2 linked regions of the Xenopus tropicalis genome follow. The protein of the gene in region 2 interacts with the protein of the main gene of each other region in a biochemical or structural test. Links are inferred from orthologs where the notes say so. Each region holds a gene or a part of one and is shown on either strand. Other genes may lie near its edges.

Evidence for each region. The genes of interacting proteins can lie anywhere in the genome.
Region 1: of the proteins of akt1 (region 2) and akt1s1, one has a biochemical effect on the other in vitro, tested with the Homo sapiens proteins (2 studies listed by BioGRID). The link is inferred for Xenopus tropicalis from reciprocal best matches to the Homo sapiens genes AKT1 and AKT1S1.

Annotation. Positions count from the first base shown.
Region 1 is NC_030683.2:111,139,028-111,149,534, forward strand, and holds the start of akt1s1 (proline-rich AKT1 substrate 1), read right to left. Parts: upstream 6,525-10,507; 5' UTR 6,466-6,524; intron 2,861-6,465; 5' UTR 2,840-2,860; coding exon 2,365-2,839; intron 382-2,364; coding exon 301-381; intron 1-300. UniProt on the Homo sapiens protein: Negative regulator of the mechanistic target of rapamycin complex 1 (mTORC1), an evolutionarily conserved central nutrient sensor that stimulates anabolic reactions and macromolecule biosynthesis to promote cellular biomass generation and growth.
Region 2 is NC_030684.2:99,686,718-99,697,204, forward strand, and holds part of akt1 (RAC-alpha serine/threonine-protein kinase), read right to left. Parts: intron 8,180-10,487; coding exon 8,068-8,179; intron 6,573-8,067; coding exon 6,422-6,572; intron 6,118-6,421; coding exon 5,986-6,117; intron 5,616-5,985; coding exon 5,550-5,615; intron 4,626-5,549; coding exon 4,557-4,625; intron 2,922-4,556; coding exon 2,796-2,921; intron 1,350-2,795; coding exon 1,221-1,349; intron 1-1,220. UniProt on the Homo sapiens protein: AKT1 is one of 3 closely related serine/threonine-protein kinases (AKT1, AKT2 and AKT3) called the AKT kinase, and which regulate many processes including metabolism, proliferation, cell survival, growth and angiogenesis.

The DNA of each region.
Region 1 (10,507 bases), on a different chromosome or scaffold from region 2:
GTATATTTAATTGCTGTTAAAAGCAATATATGCCTGGCTCCTCAAACAATGTTGCAAGCTCATCTGACGGACTAAAAAAACACAAGTGAACAGACTGTTACACGGAGTTTATGCTTTTGGTAAAAATGCAGCTTCAAGATAACATTCACATATGTATATTGTGAACAGTATTGCACAAACATGCAGTAAAACAGAAAACCGAGCTGTGCAACATAACCTATAGATTAAGTATATATTTTACTATGATAAAACCTACTGCTTTACAGTCATAAACCCACTTTGGGGCAACCCTGATCTTACCATCAGTACTTTCTTCTTGGTCAGATTCAAAAAAAGGTTCACAGTCTTGGCTGTTGGAGTCCTCATCCATCACAAAGAGACCTGAGCAAAAACACTGAGAAATAAGAAACTGCTCAAAGGGTAGATGTTCTAGCGCCTAGAGCGCCACCTTGTGTTAAAGAGTGTAAACTGCACATAACATTTTTGAATTCAAATATTACTAGTTACAGCATAGGTTGTTAAACACAACTAAAGCACAAACCACACCCCCTGCATAATGAAAAGTGCACTTTTAGTTAAATGCCATGTGATCTACAGGTTATTTTTATGTACAAGAGGCATGGGCCCAAGGGGATATTATGAGAATACTGCCCAGATCTTACGTGGTTTGTTAGTACTAGGCATTCAAGTTTGGGCAATTGCAAAGTCTACAAAAGACCCTATACTTTTTTTTTTTTTTTAAAGGGGAACTAAAAAATCCTGTTTTACGTCCTGTTTTATAAATGTATAATAAGCATGAAGGCAGCACAGCAGCCCTAATAGATCAGCTTCATGAAAAACCAAAATGCTCCCTGTACTGCCTACTTTTTCCCCCCAACAACAATGTATAGTCCTTTCCAAAATTAAACACGAACCCCAAATTCATTTTTATATTAAACACATCCAAACCCATTATAAGGGCATTTAAAAATCCATGCTGTCAATCATATTGCCTACCCTGCCTCTATGCATTAGGCACAGAGGTGGCGCAGACAGTCACTAACTTTCCATTCAGCACTCACATCCCCCTCCCTCTTCACCATCAAAATGTGTAGCCAAAGCATGAGCATGGGCATCAGGTCCCCCATTCTGGCACATACACAAGATTTTGGGGTGATACAAAGCTTGCCTTAACAGTGTCCACAAAATGGCAGCTGCCTGCTTGCTGTGATTGTGTAGTTCCAAGAGTAAAGGAAACAAGGTTTATATCATTTATATAATGTAAGTGAAGTACACACACACACACAGGGATGGTTCTGGCAGTATTGGTCTCTATACCTGGGGAGGCTTTTTGCCATTATAATGATCAATGTAGACTGCTATAACATGTAGCACAGTTAGGAGCCTTGGGACAATAAAGGTGCCTTGAAGGGACCCATCCATCCCCAACCCTTAGGTTGGGGACAGGTTTCAAATGAACTAAGAGAATCACTGGGGGAGGGTACAAATAGGTTTGCCATACCCTGGTTCCATTCTCCTCCTATTCAAAAACGTGCACTGTAAATGCCTAGGGGTACTTCCAACCAGAGCAGGTTGCTGCCATCTTTTCCCAGGATTCCCCCGTGAGTTCAGGCTTGCCCCATGCACAGTACAAAAACCCTTTGCAGAAGTATTGTACTACACATGCAGTTTATTTAACACTGTGGGTCTGAGACAGCACTGAATTGTGTACGCCGCTGGTCTCATAAAAGCTATATAGAAATTGGTAGACCTGTAGTAAGTTGCATCAGTCCTACAGCACAGAGTTGGGTAAAAACAGTGTTAGTGTGACACCAGTGTATCAAGCAAGGGGAGCCTCACACCTCCTGCAGGACTGCACAGCAGGATTAATTCTGAATTGTTGCATGATACAATTTCAGCCAATAACGGCAACCATCCTCAAAAGTCCAAAATATATTTTAGCGATTGCAGGGGTAAAAGTATAAAGTAGAGGGGGGGGTAGAAGACCCCCCCCCCCCCCCATTTAAAAACTGCAGAGTTGGAAGGTGGCGGCACATAATTCAAACTATAACTATAATGAAGACCAGCAGCCCCCCGACCAGTCCAATAAATAGTGACCATCTATGGCTGCCCCTCTGGCATTTGCCAGAAATCCCAGATTGCCAAGCCGGGCCTGCTCTGATGCATACCTTTAGGGTAAGTCTACCTCCATAGTAAGTAGTTTAAAACTAAATAGATTTCCTGCCAAGTCTAGAACTGAACTAAGGGTTTCAGCACAGCAAGGCCCAAGAGCGAACCACTGAAGCACAGTGCCACAAATAGCGATATGCAGAGTTAGGTGTCGTGGCTCTACATTCCAAATAAAAACCAGAGTATCCTTCTTACCTGTCGAGTCACTAGGAATATGTTCCCCAGCCTTTTCCAAATGCTTGTTGTAGTCATAGTCCTCTTCATCTTCTTGGGCCTCTAGTTTGGACATAATGTCTGGCATTTGGTTTTGGATTATGGGAATGGGCTTGTCATTGTCCTCAACTGAAGAAAACCCTTCTCGGCCGTAAATAGAAGGGTAGCTCTTTGAGTATGAGTTCTGTCTGCCCGATGAGGTCTCATTTGTTGTGTAGATGGGCATAGGGCTGGTAAAGGCAGTGGTTTTGTGCACTACAGAAATGTCATCAAGGTAGCGTTGAGTGGCCTCCAAGAGCATCCCACTCCCGTGAATAGAATATTCGAAGGAGGAAAGCAGTTTGGGTTTGTAAGCAGTTATTAGCACTATATCATTTCCAGTCAGTCTGCGGTATTTTTCTGCAGCATTAACCAACACCTCCCAAGCCTCCTGGTGATTGTCAGCCATGTCAGTCATGTTGGTGAGATGTGTCTAACCCTATTCATGGAACAAAGGGTAGAAATCAGTTAGTCCAATGGACGGAAGGATAAAATAATCCTACTGTTGAATTTATAAAGGGACATTTGACAACTAAAATGCTTGTGGGAATTGATGACTTACCTTTAGGGCAGCACCTGTCCCCCCACCCCCTAAGCCAATTATATATGACTGGCAGAAGTAGGAGTGAAAGGACTTTAGGTCATGTGACTTTACAGTTTTAGACTATCAAATGCGACAATATGTATGTAATATGCATATTAAAGAATGATTTGGTATCCGGCTGAATCCATAAGTTTGTGGGTTTGGTTCGACCCCGTTTTAAAGGATGTCAATCCAAAAAATAATTTTTGCCAATAAAAGAAAATTCTAAGCAGTTTTCCAATATGAATTTATTAAAAATGTTTAGTAATTTAAACTGTATTTAGAAATTGCTATGTAATTGCTATTGAAGGCAGCATTTGCTGAACTCCTGGTTTTTACTTTTTAAACAATGTTGCAAAGGGTAGTCTCCTCTAGCCAGAGAAGTCTGTCAGTCTGTTGGTTTGTGTTACATTGTTTCCAAACTCAGAGAAAAGGACAAACATTACTTTTAATAGCAGTAATATAATCACAAAGATTAAAAGCCATTACAAATTTGTAATGAATGTATATTGCAAAGTTGCTTAATATTAAGTTTTCTTTTATTAGACAAAATTATTTTTGGTGACCCTGGCTTTTCCCTTGTTACTCTCAGGGCAGTGATCCCCAACCAGTGGGATGTGAGCAACATGTTACGCACCATACCATTGGATGTTGCTCCCAAGGGTCTCAAAGCAGGTGCTTATTTTTGAATAAGAGGTTAGCGGCAAGCTTTGACTGCATAAAAACCCAGTGTAATTGCCCAACAGAACCTCCTGCTGCCAGACCATGTAGGGGCTACCAATAGCTAATCACAGCCTATAATTGGCACCCCAGAAACTTGTGTGCTTTTGTTGTAAGGTTGGGGACCCCTGCCTATAAGGATAATCTGGAGAGAGATTGCCATATTTTTCCGCCCACAGATTAAGCACTGTATAATCAAAATGTATTCAGAAATCATTTGCATTGCTGAATATGCTCCCATGCCTCACCTAGTGGTAGACAGGAGAATAGCACCCAAGCAGGAGAAACCCAAGTACGGTTTTGCTATTGCAGTGCACTGAGATGGCTGCCTACACTAATATTACAGCTTAAAAAAAAAAAAAAAAAAAAGATTGGTTAAAGAATAACATTTTAAATGGTAGAGTGAATTATTTGCAATGTACACAGTGTAATTTAGTAATAAAGACTATCCTACCATAAAAACTAATACCATAAAAATCATGACATAATCCCTTTAACACACTTACAAGCAGGTGGGTACAGGGAAAGATTCAGTCACATCTACATTGTGTTATGAAATTTTACAGGCAAGTTACTCCATAATGATAGATAAATGCTGGACTTAATGAGTCACAGGCTATCCTTTGTATGAGATTCCTCAATAAAAATGCTGGCTGCATGGAAGTTACATGGGTAGCACTGCAATAGTGTTTGTGTCCCTAAAAGCCCGTCACTTTGCAAGTCAATGCTGTAGAATCTACTGAAGTACCAACTTTTATCAAACCACTGGGAATCAAGAAGAATCTGCAAAGGCTGGCAGTCAAAAGGTTAATGTACTTTCATTGCGGTTACAAAGTAGCACATGATTGCTTTGGGAATCCTACTGCTTTCTTCTTTCTTTTCTGGAAGAAAAGGGCCCAGCTCTGCCCTAGGAATCGGACTTCAGCCACCCCCTTCCTGACCCTCAAGAGCGATGGTTACCCCCCCTTCTGTCTCGGCTCCACTGCCAGATTTAACCAAGAAAATATTTAAATTTTAAAATAAAATTTTTTTTTTTATATATAGGCATCAAAGGACACCCCTAGACAAGGGCCTTCGAGTGCCTATATAGAAAACATGGCCCTGTGTGCTGTATACATAAATAGCCCATTCTATAAGATACCAAGAGTTAACTTAAAGATGAACTACAATGTGCCCAACAGACCAAAATAGATTATGCATTGTTCTAAACAAGCATTTCCCACAATCCCCTGCACACATGGTGTCAATAAGAAAGGAATCTCAGTGCAATGCATTGTGGGTTATGTAGTTCATGCATGAGGTCAGTAAGTTGCGAGTTGTTACAATTTGAAACATCCATGTTTTAGTCCCTCCTCCCCTGCCAGGATTTCAAATGAGGCAGAAAAATGAATGGTTTTGCTGCTGGATTTCAGCATATAAAAATAGTATTTATGCATACTTTAGGAAGGAACAGATTACAGGGATAGGTATATTAGAGTTTTGTTGTTGTGTGGGGCTCTTTAACAAATTTTGGTTTAGAAACTGGATTTCCTTTTAAATATTCCAAACAAGGAATTAAAATAATGCCACCCCTGCTGAGAAAATAATAATCCCCTTATCTACCCAATGTTGCAAACAATAACTGCAATGGCACCCACCTACCAACACACACACTGAAAGGATACAATTACCATCAGTCTGCAGATATGGAGCGTACTGGCGGTTTCTAAGGGGACAGACATGGAGCGTACTGGCGGTTTCTAAGGGGACAGACATGGAGCGTACTGGCGGTTTCTAAGGGGACAGACATGGAGCGTACTGGCGGTTTCTAAGGGGGACAGACAAGGAGCGTACTGGCGGTTTCTAAGGGGACAGACATGGAGCGTACTGGCGGTTTCTAAGGGGACAGACATGGAGCGTACTGGCGGTTTCTAAGGGGACAGACATGGAGCGTACTGGCGGTTTCTAAGGGGACAGACATGGAGCGTACTGGCGGTTTCTAAGGGGACAGACATGGAGCGTACTGGCGGTTTCTAAGGGGACAGACATGGAGCGTACTGGCGGTTTCTAAGGGGACAGACATGGAGCGTACTGGCGGTTTCTAAGGGGACAGACATGGAGCGTACTGGCGGTTTCTAAGGGGACAGACATGGAGCGTACTGGCGGTTTCTAAGGGGACAGACATGGAGCGTACTGGCGGTTTCTTGACACCAGGGCCTGCTACATTGTCCCTCCTTAGCACACTCCAAGTGACATTAGGCACAGGAGGCACAGGTGTAGGGGGCCTGGAAAACCCACAGGCCAGAGAGCCATAAAGCCCCACTTTAACCCTTTGTCTATGGCAAGTTCCAGATGTGCACCCTGCTCTCTATGAATGTCCCAGCATGCATTGCCAACAGCCTGGTTATTAGAAGCCATGCAAAAAGGAGCAAATCCCTCAACTCCCAGGTAACTAACAAAACCCAGTAATTTTGTGCAGAAAAACAAAATAACAAAAACTTTCCAATCTGTAATACAGGCAGAAGCCGCAGTGCAGAGTAGAGCAACAGCCTTAAAAGCAATTTACAAATCAATTTAAAATCATTGAAACGTTTCAAGAGTGCAAACCGGCTGAGCACAACCCACAGGCTTATAACGTTTATGCAGCCAGCCCAAGCTAGCAGAGCTCCGACTACTGCTCCCAGCATCCCCTCCCAATCGCTGCCTACCCGTGCAATGTTGGACGCAGACAGACAGCCGCAAGCCGCACAAACAAGATTTACCTGCAGCCCTCACTGAGCCGAACCAGAGCCCCCCGGGTCGCACAGCTACAGACGTCACCGCCACCAGCCTCCACCACTCGCCGCCTCCCCCATTTATATCGGCAAGGCCACGCCCCCTCTCCCCAACATGTTGGCTGCCAACTCAGCTTGCCCAAACCTAGGAACAATAGGCAAGCTCCCAGTGAGGGTCATCATACTGCCCCACACACCGACACACCGGCGGGACTTTACTCGCACACGTACTTCTCATTACATTATCAATATCATTTCTCTAGCCTAAAGCTCGTACGTGTATGCGTGCCCCACGTGATGAACTTTAGCTCCGCCCAGAGGGAGGGGCCGGGTTAGTTAGCTGAAATAGTACCGTGGTGTTACTTCAGAAAGGGGCGGGGTTCTAGTATGCGAGGGGAGTTGTTTGTTAGTGCATTGAGCAGTGTTGTTTGGGGCATTTATTGATAGTCCTTGGTTGTGTGTGTATGTATGTATATCTTTATTTATAAAGCGCTACTTATGTACGCAGTGCTGTACAGTAGAATACATAAATACAAACGGTGTTAAAGATAATGGATAAATACAAAGTACAACAATAAATACAAATAAATACAAGGTACAGTTGCAATAAGAGTCAGAAACAAGATGAACGAGGTCCCTGCCCCGTAGAGCTTACAATCTATATGTTCGCGGATATGGCTCGCTTTGGGGGTTAATGACGGGGGGGCGACTGCGGGGACCGTGCTAAATGTCATAGCGCGCAATATGTTGGGGCAGCCATGGTTTTGAGAGTAGTAGCGACAATAGCCTTTGTGAGGCACCTGTGTCTGTGCTTTAGTAGGGAGAGATGGTGCCTATAGTAGCAGTGGGGGGATAATAGCCTCTGGGAAGGGACTGTGGCTGTGGGATAGCAGGTATAGTAGGGAGAGATGGTGCCTATAGTAGCAGTGGGGGATAATAGCCTCTGGGAAGGGACTGTGGCTGTGGGATAGCAGGTATAGTAGGGAGAGATGGTGCCTATAGTAGCAGTGGGATAATAGCCTCTGGGAAGGGACTGGGGCTGTGGGATAGCAGGTATAGTAGGGAGAGATGGTGCCTATAGTAGCAGTGGGATAATAGCCTCTGGGAAGGGACTGTGGCTGTGGGATAGCAGGTATAGTAGGGAGAGATGGTGCCTATAGTAGCAGTGGGGGATAATAGCCTCTGGGAAGGGACTGTGGCTGTGGGATAGCAGGTATAGTAGGGAGAGATGGTGCCTATAGTAGCAGTGGGGGGATAATAGCCTCTGGGAAGGGACTGTGGCTGTGGGATAGCAGGTATAGTAGGGAGAGATGGTGCCTATAGTAGCAGTGGGGGATAATAGCCTCTGGGAAGGGACTGTGGCTGTGGGATAGCAGGTATAGTAGGGAGAGATGGTGCCTATAGTAGCAGTGGGGGGTTAATAGCCTCTGGGAAGGGACTGTGGCTGTGGGATAGCAGGTATAGTAGGGAGAGATGGTGCCTATAGTAGCAGTGGGGGGATAATAGCCTCTGGGAAGGGACTGTGGCTGTGGGATAGCAGGTATAGTAGGGAGAGATGGTGCCTATAGTAGCAGTGGGGGGATAATAGCCTCTGGGAAGGGACTGGGGCTGTGGGATAGCAGGTATAGTAGGGAGAGATGGTGCCTTTAGTAGCAGTGGGGGGATAATAGCCTCTGGGAAGGGACTGTGGCTGTGGGATAGCAGGTATAGTAGGGAGAGATGGTGCCTATAGTAGCAGTGGGATAATAGCCTCTGGGAAGGGACTGTGGCTGTGGGATAGCAGGTATAGTAGGGAGAGATGGTGCCTATAGTAGCAGTGGGGGATAATAGCCTCTAGGAAGGGACTGTGGCTGTGGGATAGCAGGTATAGTAGGGAGAGATGGTGCCTATAGTAGCAGTGGGGGGATAATAGCCTCTGGGAAGGGACTGTGGCTGTGGGATAGCAGGTATAGTAGGGAGAGATGGTGCCTATAGTAGCAGTGGGGGGATAATAGCCTCTGGGAAGGGACTGTGGCTGTGGGATAGCAGGTATAGTAGGGAGAGATGGTGCCTATAGTAGCAGTGGGGGGATAATAGCCTCTGGGAAGGGACTGGGGCTGTGGGATAGCAGGTATAGTAGGGAGAGATGGTGCCTTTAGTAGCAGTGGGGGGATAATAGCCTCTGGGAAGGGACTGGGGCTGTGGGATAGCAGGTATAGTAGGGAGAGATGGTGCCTATAGTAGCAGTGGGATAATAGCCTCTGGGAAGGGACTGTGGCTGTGGGATAGCAGGTATAGTAGGGAGAGATGGTGCCTATAGTAGCAGTGGGATAATAGCCTCTGGGAAGGGACTGTGGCTGTGGGATAGCAGGTATAGTAGGGAGAGATGGTGCCTATAGTAGCAGTGGGGGATAATAGCCTCTGGGAAGGGACTGTGGCTGTGGGATAGCAGGTATAGTAGGGAGAGATGGTGCCTATAGTAGCAGTGGGATAATAGCCTCTGGGAAGGGACTGTGGCTGTGGGATAGCAGGTATAGTAGGGAGAGATGGTGCCTATAGTAGCAGTGGGTGATAATAGCCTCTAGGAAGGGACTGTGGCTGTGGGATAGCAGATATAGTAGGGAGAGATGGTGCCTATAGTAGCAGTGGGGGATAATAGCCTCTGGGAAGGGACTGTGGCTGTGGGATAGCAGGTATAGTAGGGAGAGATGGTGCCTATAGTAGCCATAGCCACTGTGGCTGTGGGATAGTTTTTTACACAAAAAAAAAACTTCTAATTCGGAAAGCCCAGGCATTATGGATTATAGATCCTATTTTGTACACAAAATATTCACTTTCATATTTTTAATTTGTACTTAGTAACCACTCAGGCCCCTCTGCTTAGCAGTGGTATTACCTGAATATATCACTAGCAATATGTGTTACCTGTTTCTCAATAATAAAGGCCTAGGAAATTTAAATGATGCCAACGCACGGCCATGTGGTTGAAACACAGTTATCCCGTCAGAAGGGCTTTTGCCTCAGATGTAAAATAACCATTATTTCTCATCAGCCCCAGCCCTGAAAAATGAATATGACATCAGAGGAATGAGAAGAGAAGCATATTAGGGATTCAGGTTCCGCCCACCTGTTCTGTTAGTATAAGGTTGAAGCAGGCTAAATGTGTACATTTTGCAGTTTTATACTATTTCTTCCTGAACACCGTCCTTTGTACCCAGCTGCAGTGTCTTGGCATGTGAATAAGAATACATTCCAATGTGCTGTACCTACAAATGCTTCTGACTGCCATCAAGACTGACATTTTGCAAATACACAGAAAGCAGCTAACTGAGCCAATTTAAATAATTAGGCTAATATTTTTAATTACAACTTACGAATAGGATTACAAAAATATATATATAGAATCCACATCCTGCAGGGCTAATTTGTAATTAATTTAAATGCATGCTGCAGTTTGAACTGATTTACATGCAACTAAAAGAATTGCTAATTAGCCCTGCAGAATGTAGATTTAATATGTGGCCAGTATTAAAGGGGTCCGGTAGCAACCTTAGATACAACCACATTACTTATGACATTTCTATCTGGGTTGTTAATTATAGCAGATTCAAGCTGGGCTGCACAGGCAACTAAAACCTGCTAGGTGTACCCTCCAGACTGATTTGTTAGGTATTGGCCCATGTGTGGGTCTCTTCCAAAGACCTGCCTGACCAATATTTGGCTATAAGTTGGGCAGATATCTGTTTAAAGGAAACACGTTTTAAAAACCAATCAGTTAATAGAGCTTCTCCAGCAGAATCCTGCATTGTAATCTGTTTTTCAAAAACACAAACAGATTTTTTTATATTTAGCCATATTCTTCATTTCCCAGGGTGCCACAGCCATGTGACTTGTGCTCTGATAAACTTCAGTCACACTTTACTGCTGTGCTGCAAGTTGGAGTGATATCACCCCCACCTCCCTTCCCAGCAGCCAATCAGCAGAACAATGGTAAGGCAGCAAGATAGCAGCTCCCAGTAGGTTTCAGAATAGCACGCAATAGTAAGAAATC
Region 2 (10,487 bases):
CTTGCACAAAATGTCTTAAGCTTTATACAGCAGGTCTGGAAGTAAGCAAGCATTTGTATCTGGAACCAAACATTATTATATTTTTACCATTCATTTAATACAGCAATCAAATCTCAAATATCTATGTCTGCATTCCAAACTTACATGGTGTTCAAGGGGTGTCATTTTTAAAGGGAACCAAATGTATTCCCCTTTTAAACATCTATTACTTTTGTCTGCAACACAAATCAGACAATGTAAGTATTCTTTTGCAGCCTTAAATGAATAGTTCAGTGTAAAAATGAAACTGGGTAAAATAGATAGACTGTGCAAAATAAAATAAAGGTTGGCATGGACAGATGTCAAACATAATGGTCCTGCGCGCTCACAAACTAACTGAACAGTTATGTCTCATGTGCTTCCCCCTGAAGTTGTGGACTAACTAAGAGGTTAGAGAGCTGAAATCAGAAAGTTGTGTTGTGGCTATTATGTTAGACATTGGCTCGCTCCAGCCTTTATAGATTACATTTTTGCCTAACTAACTATAAAATAAATATATTTTATTTTGCTCAGCCTATCTATTTTACCCAGTTTCATTTTTAAACTGAATTATAAGCTATAGTTTTCAGCAAAGCTATTACAAGTGGCACTGCACCCAAATGAGATGCTTGGGTGTGCTGAAAGTGGGTCAGAGTTGTGGGTATATCTGGTTGCATTTTGGGACTGCAGCAAAAAAAAGTCCCTTTCTTTCACAGAAATTGCTGCCCTATGTATTATAAGTTCATCCAATGCATGTAAGGAAATAGTGGTATAAGAGGAATAGGAGCCATTGGACAGCTGTACCTGGGAAGCAGTACAGTGGCCCTAAGAACGGTTATAACAAGGATCACTTTGCTTGTAGCTTAAGACCAGACCACTGAATTGTGTGTCTGTGCCCTGAAGGCAGACTAAGTCATAGGGTTTAAACTAGAAGGATACGGATAGGTTGAAGGGAACAAACAACTGAACTGGGGAACTACAAGACAACAAAATACAGAATATCTTGATATGTTTTAGTTAATATCTGCTGCTAATCTCTCTTTTTTGGCCTTACCTCCACTTATATCTCCAATGACATTAGTCCATATCAACACCTTTTCCCATGTATACAGCCTACCCCAGCAATGCAGACTGTATGATGGTTGGTTCACAATAAACCCCATATAAAAAAAGAAGCGTATAAACAACAAACAGTTACATACCTCAGGAGCGAGATATTCTGGTGTGCCACAGAACGTCTTCATGGTTGCTCCGTCTTTTATTCCTTCCTTGCACAGGCCAAAATCAGTTATCTTTATGTGTCCATCTTTGTCCAGCATTAGATTTTCCAACTTTAAAAAATAACAGCAAAGAAACCAGTTGCTTTACAGACAGAACAGGACTAAGGGTGGCCATACATGGGCAGATTTCAGCTGCCAATTTGGGTCCTTAAGACCGAGTCGGCAGCTTATCTGCCCATGTATGGGGCCCTCCGACCAATATCTGGGCAAAAACTGGACAGATGTTGATCAGACATGCTTAATTTTTCATCAGATCAGGGACTGCATCGGCTCATTGCAGTCCTTGCTCCGACTTTTCCTATCCCCTTCATTGCAATGTGATGGTTTGGCCCTAGGGCACTGGCACAATATTGCCCCCCCAAGGGCATAACAGGGGAATGATTTGCTTGTTTGGCAACCTCACCAAACAAGCAAATCTTACGGTGTATGGCCACCTTAAGAGGCTGCATTTGCATTCTGAACACAAGCAGATGTTTCTTCTTCCCACTCTCTTATCTTGCATCTGTCTAGTACATCTAGCCTTAGATAACCCAGCCGGTATGGTTTCATGGAGATTGTCAATACACAAAGGAGCATGTTCTTTTGGCCACATCAAACTGCTGAAAATGTGAAGAGGAAGTGTTTTATTGCTAGTGTGTAACAGGTAAAGCAAGCGATCCCTGCAGCAGTTACCAACAGTTACACGCTGTTGTGAAAACACTCACTCATCACAAGCAGAAAACATTGGCTGCAGATGCTGCGTTACTTGCCAAGGCAAAGAATAGAGGTCATTCTTAAAAGGGAAATAAGTTTAAAAGGTTTTAGTTTTGCCTGCATAAATAAACCAAACTTTAAATCTTTAAATGTTTGCTTTATATTATTATGATTTATTTTTTTTATAATGCACCACAGCAACATTTAAACATCATTCACATCAGTGCCTGCCTCAACCACACATTCACACACACTGGGCAATATTATGAGAAGCCAGTTAACCTTTCTGTATGTTTTTGGATAGTGCTAAGAAATCTGAGCACCCCACCTTGGATAGCCACACACATACATGGGGTGAACATACAAACTAACTTGAGGATAGTGCCCTGACTAGAATCAAACCTAGGACCCCAGTGCTAGAACCAGAAAGTGACTACGCAATCACATGACAAGCATGGGAACAAGCTTTTTTTTTTTTTTTTTTGCTTGGAAGCATGGGAACAAGCCATGCATATATACATATATATGGTAAGTGACTGCAATGCTAGACTATAGGAGGGCGTTTGGACGTTTTTTAGCTACTAAAAAATGTAGTAGTTAAAGCTTCCCAAAAAGCCCTCTGGTTTTACTCATACCTCTCATTTTGCCAACACTCCATCCAATTACCTGTATGCCAATTAATGGATGGTCTTTTGACATAGCCAGGGACCTGAAGATTTAGCAATGGCTTTGTCCTTATTAATTTGTGTGTTAATATGAAAGGGTAAAAAGCTTCAACAACTCATAAGCACTGAGCACACTTACCTTTAAGTCTCTGTAAACTACATTTTTCTCAGAATGAAGATAATCTAAAGCAGAAACAATCTCTGCCCCATAAAACCGGGCACGATCTTCAGAGAATATACGTTCTCTTGATAAGTGGAAGAATAACTAGAGAAAAAAGAAAACTATTGAATCTTCTAATAAATTAACCCTTTTCCTCTGTTAATTTTAAACACAGAGTATTCTTGTCCCATTGTACTGTGGGCAGCATGAGGATCTGATAGGCTGAAGTACTGTTAACATTTGTAGGAGTCTATTGGAACATATGATTTACAAGCACAAACGTGTGCTCTGGGGGTGTTTGGTATCCGAGACCTAAGGCCCTATGACCCACAGTGAGATTAGAGATGCCCACAGTGAGCCCATGAAAAATCCTCAATACCATGGAAGACTAATCTCTCTGAAATGCCTTTCCACCAGCAATAATATGAATCGCTGGTGGGAAGGCATACAGATCATTAAAGGAACAGTAACATCAAAAAATTAAAGTGTTTTAAAGTAATTAAAATATAATGTGCTGTTGCTCTGCAAAAAACTGGTGTTTTTGCTACAGAAAAGCTACTATATAAATAAGCTGCTGTGTAGCCATGGGGGCAGCCATTCAAGCTGGAAAAAAGGCACAGTTTACATAGCAGATAACTAGTAGATAAGCCCCATATAATGGGGGTTTATCTGTTATCTGCTAAGTAACCTGTGCCTTTTCTCCTTTGAATGGCTGCCCCCATGGCTACACAGCAGCTTACTTATATAAACTATAGTAGTCTTTCTGAGGCAAACACACCAGTTGTAGCAATGGAGGGCAACAGTACATTATATTGCTATTACTTGTATACACTTTATTTTTTTGGTGTTACTGTTCCTTTAAGTTGCCAACATTCCCTCACAAGGAAACTTTGGCCAATTTCAGTAAACCTATGCAACGCATATGCCTTTCCACTGGTGATTTACTGGGGCCAAACGATCGAATTATAACGACTGGAATAGGTGCAGTCGGTTCAGGGCAACACGGAGCAGTTTCTTGGCCTGTGTATAAGCACAGGCCGATAAACTATCCCTCCTCTCCGATCTGATCTATGGGGTGTCTGCACCCAGAGACACTGCCTCGCCTGGGTACAGACACACAGAGCTGATCTGGGTGCAGTGTCTCTAGTTGCAGACAAACCATAGCGCAGATAGGGGTGAAGGGGCAGTTTCTTAGTCTGTACCATAAAAATATGAAGAAATAAAGGAGGGGGAGAAAAAGACAGCACTGCAGTTTTATAGCAGTGGATTAAATACATGTACAACATGATTATTGATTGGCTTTCTGTTTTATAGCACCGGCAGGATGGTGGTTAATAATATACAATATAATAATAATATAATAACACATTTATATTACTGTCAAATCTATGGCACATAGGGGGTGAACTTCATGCTGATGTAATGAAAATACCCGCTCCCCTCTGTGAGTCACTTACCATCAACATCAATATGAAGCATAGCCCTGCTTGAGTAAACATTACCCAAAAATGTTCGCCATTATGGTTTCTGGCGATAACTGCAGCTCTGAGCTGATCTGCTGCACTTCCCAGTACAAAACCCCTTGGCGGCTTTGTGCACCAAAACTGACCTTCTTTTGCCTCATATGAAAAATGGCCCAGTATCAGCACATATCAGACGATTCCCCCAATGCACCAACTTCAGTGCAGAGTAGGAAATAATAGAAATGGCAATAGAAAGATAGATTTACTCAGTACTAACCTCTCCTCCATTGGCATACTCCATGACAAAACATAAGCGATCATGTGTCTGAAAGGAATATTTCAGTGCCTACAAGAAATTAAAGTTGAGTAACCAACCGTCTTCTGAACTTTATAAATTGGTGCCAAATTAAACAAACTGACCCTGCAAAAGCTGCACTACGCAAGCCCAACACCCATCATACCCATGAGATATCACAGAGGGGAAAGCCTCAGGGTCAGCCATTAAAGGAACAATAAATTCAGAGGAACGGACTGAAAACATTAAAATATAATACATATTTACTATATTGCCACAGCAATAGCAGCAAGTTAAATGTAGGATGCTGTTTTAAAAATTATGGATAATCTGTTACAGCTTCCATACTGGTTTCTCCATAGGCCAGAAAAACAAATTATTAGTAAACAGCATTCATTTTTATGTCTACAAGGACTGCAGTTGTTGTGGCTGCAGTCGAAAGGTAAAAATCTTACTTGCTTACCTTTTAACTTTAATCGCTTACCTTTTACCCCGGGCTGGTGCTCCTATTAGGAGAAGCCACATAAGCCCAGGGAAGCTGCAGCAAGTGTTTCCTCTTACTTCTTTCTTCTGAATCCTGGGGCCGGCGCAAAGACAGAAGAAGGAAGGAAACACTCCTTCTTCTCACAGGAGCACTAGCCCAGGGTAAAAGGTAAGCAATTAAAGTCTCTGGGGGTGGCTTACATTTTGGCACCCCCCAGTGACTTAGTCTTTCCTTCTCCTTTAAAAGCTGCTGTGTAGCTATGGGGGCAACCATTCAAGTTGAAATTGGGCTATAGGCTATATAGTAGTTAACAAATGAGCTCAATTAAATACAATGGTTCTAGTTCTTATCCAGGGCTATCAAATAGCCATAAAACACACCCATAATTATGGTGGTATCTTATGAAACCAACTTACAAGATATTTACATACATTTTCCATGGTAACTTTATTATTAATGCAAAAAACACAATGTTTCTATTTAAAACTTACTGTTAGGAAGGGATGCCTAGAATTCTGCAGGACGCGGTTTTCTGTTAGCGTGTGAGCTACTTCATCCTGAAAAAAAGAAACATTTAAGGTACAGAATACTCATTCTAGAGCAGATTTCACCAAGCTGCTGACTGGTGGACTGGAATTTATCAATTCATTAGGCAAGCAGCCACTCTTATATAACAAGTGTGTTTTATCTTCATAAAATAATATATCCATGTTGCTTCAATTTAGTGGTGTCCTGCTACTGAATTTGCCATGGACACTGCATACCTCAAACATTTTTTTTTATTTAAAAATAAATAAATAAATGAATGAAAGATCAAAGACAAGCACTGTCTCGAGGAATGAGAATAAGAGCTGATACAAGAAAGTGAATGCTATAACCATTCCGGGGAGAGAGAGGGAATTCCTGGAGAAATTCCGGGTCACTTACCTTTGCAACAATAACTTCTTTTTTTAAAATTTTCATAGCGTAATATCTTCCTGTTGCTTTCTCTTTGACTAAAATAACTTTCCCAAATGTTCCTTTCCCCAAAAGCTTGAGATACTCAAATTCATTCATTGTCTGTTGAGATTAAATAAATGTATTTGTAATTCAACACTCTGTTAAATGGTACCAATTCAGATAAAGCAAGGCCAATTTACTGATCTAATAACATAATATAACCATCAGTTTTATAGCTGTATGACATCCTTGCATACAATATTAGTCACATTTGGATAGGGAATTCTGTGCTTGGTGGGGCCACTGAAAGACAGCGGAGTTACTAGGATAACTTGTCTGGCTCCATTGTTGATAAATATAGTGCCATTTAATAAAAAAGCCCTTACTTACAAACCTGTACATTTTACATTAAAATGACACTTACTACTTTATGTTTTGGTTTCGAATGAGAAACTTCCATTTCCTCGGCTCCAGAGTTATCGCTTGGGGAGTCGCCAGACCGAACCTCCATCATTTCTTCTTCCTGTTTCTTAAGGTTGTCGGCTACATGTTGTATAACCTGAATCCATTCTTCCCTTCAATGAAACAATGAAAAAATACACATGCATTGCTGGAGAAGTGTGAGTAGAGTGGGGCTTATTGACCAACATATGGACAGTAACACCGTTGTTTACCTTTACCTTGACAGCTGCAGGTAGAATAATTAAAGTAAAATACTGAATAGTTGGCATAGGTCACTTCCCCATGTTGGTAAATAAGCCAGTGAGTCTGATGTGATGTTCAAGGAAGGAGAACTCATACTTTGAAATGCGTTTATCCTGATCATACGCTTATACTTCCATCCCATCTGACCCATAGGAGCATATTTATTATGTATCAGTGGTTTTTTTTTTTTTTTTTAACAAAACAATTATAACCCTACTGCTCAGTAAGAATATAACATTAGTGATTTTGTCACATTTGCTTTTTTCATTCCATGTGCTCTAATAACACTGGCATGTTCATCTGCTTTGGTCAGTGTGTCCAACATCAAATTGCCACATCTTCATGCATTTTGTTTTGTTGATTTAAAAAAAAAAAAAAAAAAACACATTCTTTTTGAGCTGGAAAGAAATGCTGACAACTATTGACTTTAATGCATTTTGTGAAATGTTGATCATCTTCACATCACTGTGCCATAGCATAGTTGTGCAAGTCTTCTCCTTTTTTGAATAGTCAGGTAGTATGTTTGTTTATTACAACATTGTGCCAAGCCACAGTCCCCAATTAAAATAACTGTGCCAGATACCCACTGAGGAACAGGTAACTGACACAATTCACTTGTACATTTGTTGTAGATAGTCTTACCCCTTTACTGGAATAAAATACTGGTCTTCCTATATTTTTTTATCTTTCTTCCCAAAATACCAACTATTTCAATTCATTCAATTGATATCATTCATCCCTATCAACAAGAATGGTGAGGAACTCAGAAATAAACTAGGTCTTGATTTATTATTCCTGTGTTCTGTATATGTACACATTCCTGGGGGTACTGGCAAAAGGGATGAGCCAACATGCAGTGCCACAATACATACCAACCAAGAGACAGAGGGGGACCCCCAGAGGGGCATCTCTGAAGGACGCCTAGAGCAGGGTGACCAGACCACTTAAATATTTAGGGACATGACTAGAAAATCAAGCTAGCAGGGTTGAACTGATTTTAGTTTAATTTAAATGCAATCAGTTATTTATTAGAAATGTCCCTGAATTTTCAATCGATCTAATGGAGCTGCCCTGAGATGCTGCCGCCATTTAAAAACTTGAAATTAAGCTCTTTTTTGCCGCCCCTGGTAACTTTGGGGATGCTGGCGCCTGAGGCGAGTTTTTCAACTCCCCTCATGGCAGCAGGGGCAGCTCAGAGTTAAATGTTGAAAAGTCCAACTTTGCTGTGTGTTGCAGATCTGAGCAACAAAGGACACAGCTACACTGTTCCTTTCCAGAGAAATGATGTATTTCACAACAGCTGGATTAACGGGCAGTATTAAATATGCACAGCCGTGTTTGAATGGCAATATGAGTAGAACATACCGCTCCTCAGGAGAATCCACATGAAATGTTCTTTCAATTACTGTGGTCCACTGGAGGCACCGAATGATAAATGTGTTTGGTTTTGGTCGTTCTGTCTTCATCAGCTGACATTCTATCACATACAAGGGGAGAGAGGGATGCCTCATAAGCCTCTTTAAACACTCATTTGTCTTGATTTTACCCAGCACACACAAGTAATCATCCACAAATTCTGCAAAAGTACATCTTTAAAGGGATATTATCCTACAATAATAATCACACAGAAATGTAACAAATCAGAATATGTTGGGCAGTTTACTGTTAGTCAGGAGATTACATTATGATTATATTGTAAGTTTACTGTAAATCTGGTATCATAAACATTAAATTATATAGTGTCATATTTATTATACATTATTCACATGGGCACTTGCCTAGTGGTTTAGTGCCTTAAGTTTTTTAAATTGTAAAATACAAAATTATAAAACTCCCATGTGAATATACAAAACGCTTGGAGCTGTAAATGTTATCCTCTGCCAACAGATCTGCTGCATAGGCTCCATTTGTGATCACATCACAAGTACAGGGCCAAACAGGCGGATCAGGCCAAAATTGCCCACCACTTGGGTAGGCAAACTGAGCAAAGATCCACCCATTTCTAAACCTTCCCAAATGAGCAGATCTGCCTGTGTAAGTCATCTTCTGTCATCCAAGTCATAATTATTATTATTATTATTTATATAGCGCCATCAATTTACACAGCGCTTTACAGAATACAAAAAGACAATGTGTAAGTGTAAGTCATCTTCTGTCATCCAAGTCATAATTATTATTATTATTATTTATATAGCGCCATCAATTTACACAGCGCTTTACAGAATACAAAAGACAGAACAGTTAACATGTACATATAAACAATTCACAAAAATGGTTTGCAGTTACATTGGATGAGGATTGGAGACACTAGGGGGAGGGCCCTGCTCGCAAGAGCTTACATTCTAAAAGGGAGGGCTGAGATATAAGGTCAGGGTAACGCATAAAGAGACAAGCCTGCTGGGTTTTCCAACATTTTTACATCAATATTAGTATTAATAATTGAATAATACAACAATCATATTCTGACAAAAATATTCTTTTAGAATTAACCCCTTTCTGACCGGGATGTTGTAGGCTTGGCTTTATATTTTGCAGTCACAAAAAGGTTAATAAGATACATACAAACAAATGACAGAACAAATGATTTTCCTTTTCCCAGAAGTGAAGGCATACTGGCAATACAGCTGTAATTATCTGAAATATGTTGTGCCTGACACTCAGCAGTGTAAAACAATGTTACTCTGGTGTCCTTTTTAATTTCAAGTACATTAAAACTAATCATTTTTCTATCTTGAGGCACTGAGGATCACTCAATTACACATTATATATAAACTGTGATTAATGTTGCAGGAAACAACCTGCCTTATGTTCTTATACAGAAACATGGGACAGAGAGCTTCAACTCGCTTTTCTTTCAAATTACAGCTCCCCATCATCCTCTGCCAGGCTACAGCAACCAAGGGATAGAGTGATTCTACCACAGCTACGAGGCTACAGAATAGAGATGAATACAGAACTATGCTACAGCAACCCATCAGCAGATAGTTTCCTGGCATGCTTTTTGAAGGAAAGCACCTGATTGATTGCCGGAAAAAAACTTTTCCACCTCTAGGGGTGTACAGATCCAAAAATGCTGAGCCTTTTGTAAGGCCCACCTACAACATGTTAAACGCTTTAGTAACACCATACTTTCCTCCAAATGTCCTCATTTGTTTACATGTAATATTTAGAAAGAACTAACTTTGCATTTATAAATAAATGTATTTCCTTTAAGTTTGGCTTTGAGATAATAAGGTATGAATATGGCTTATCTAAACAGGCTTGGGCAACCTGTAGTCCTCAAGATGTAGCTGAACTGCAACTCCTGGAAAGCCAATAATCTTTAGTTGGATCCAAGGACAATGGTACAAGATCTTTCATCAATGATGCCCTATGAGGGATAGCCCTTATCTGTTGTAAGCTTGGTCTGTACTAAATAAAATCCACTTCCCTAAGCTGCACTGCAGCATCAGCAAGGCAGTATTGCTCACCAGTACACAGTTCCATTAGACTGGGACTGGGGTTTGATTGCCACAGTTCTCCCTAAGATCAGAGTGGTAGTCCAGATATATTGGCATATGCCAGAAAGACTGCTATAAAATGCTATTGACCAGTACGGTGAGGCACTGGTTGGGCTTCAGCTTATTTTGAATTTTTGTCTGAGCATGTCTTAAGAGTCGCATTGGTCAAAATGCGCCACTACCCAGATTTATAGAACTAGACATAACAACTTTGTTCGTTGACAGCTTTGTTTAGTGATAAAAGATGCCTACAGGCACCTGAGCATATTGTAAATAAAATACATT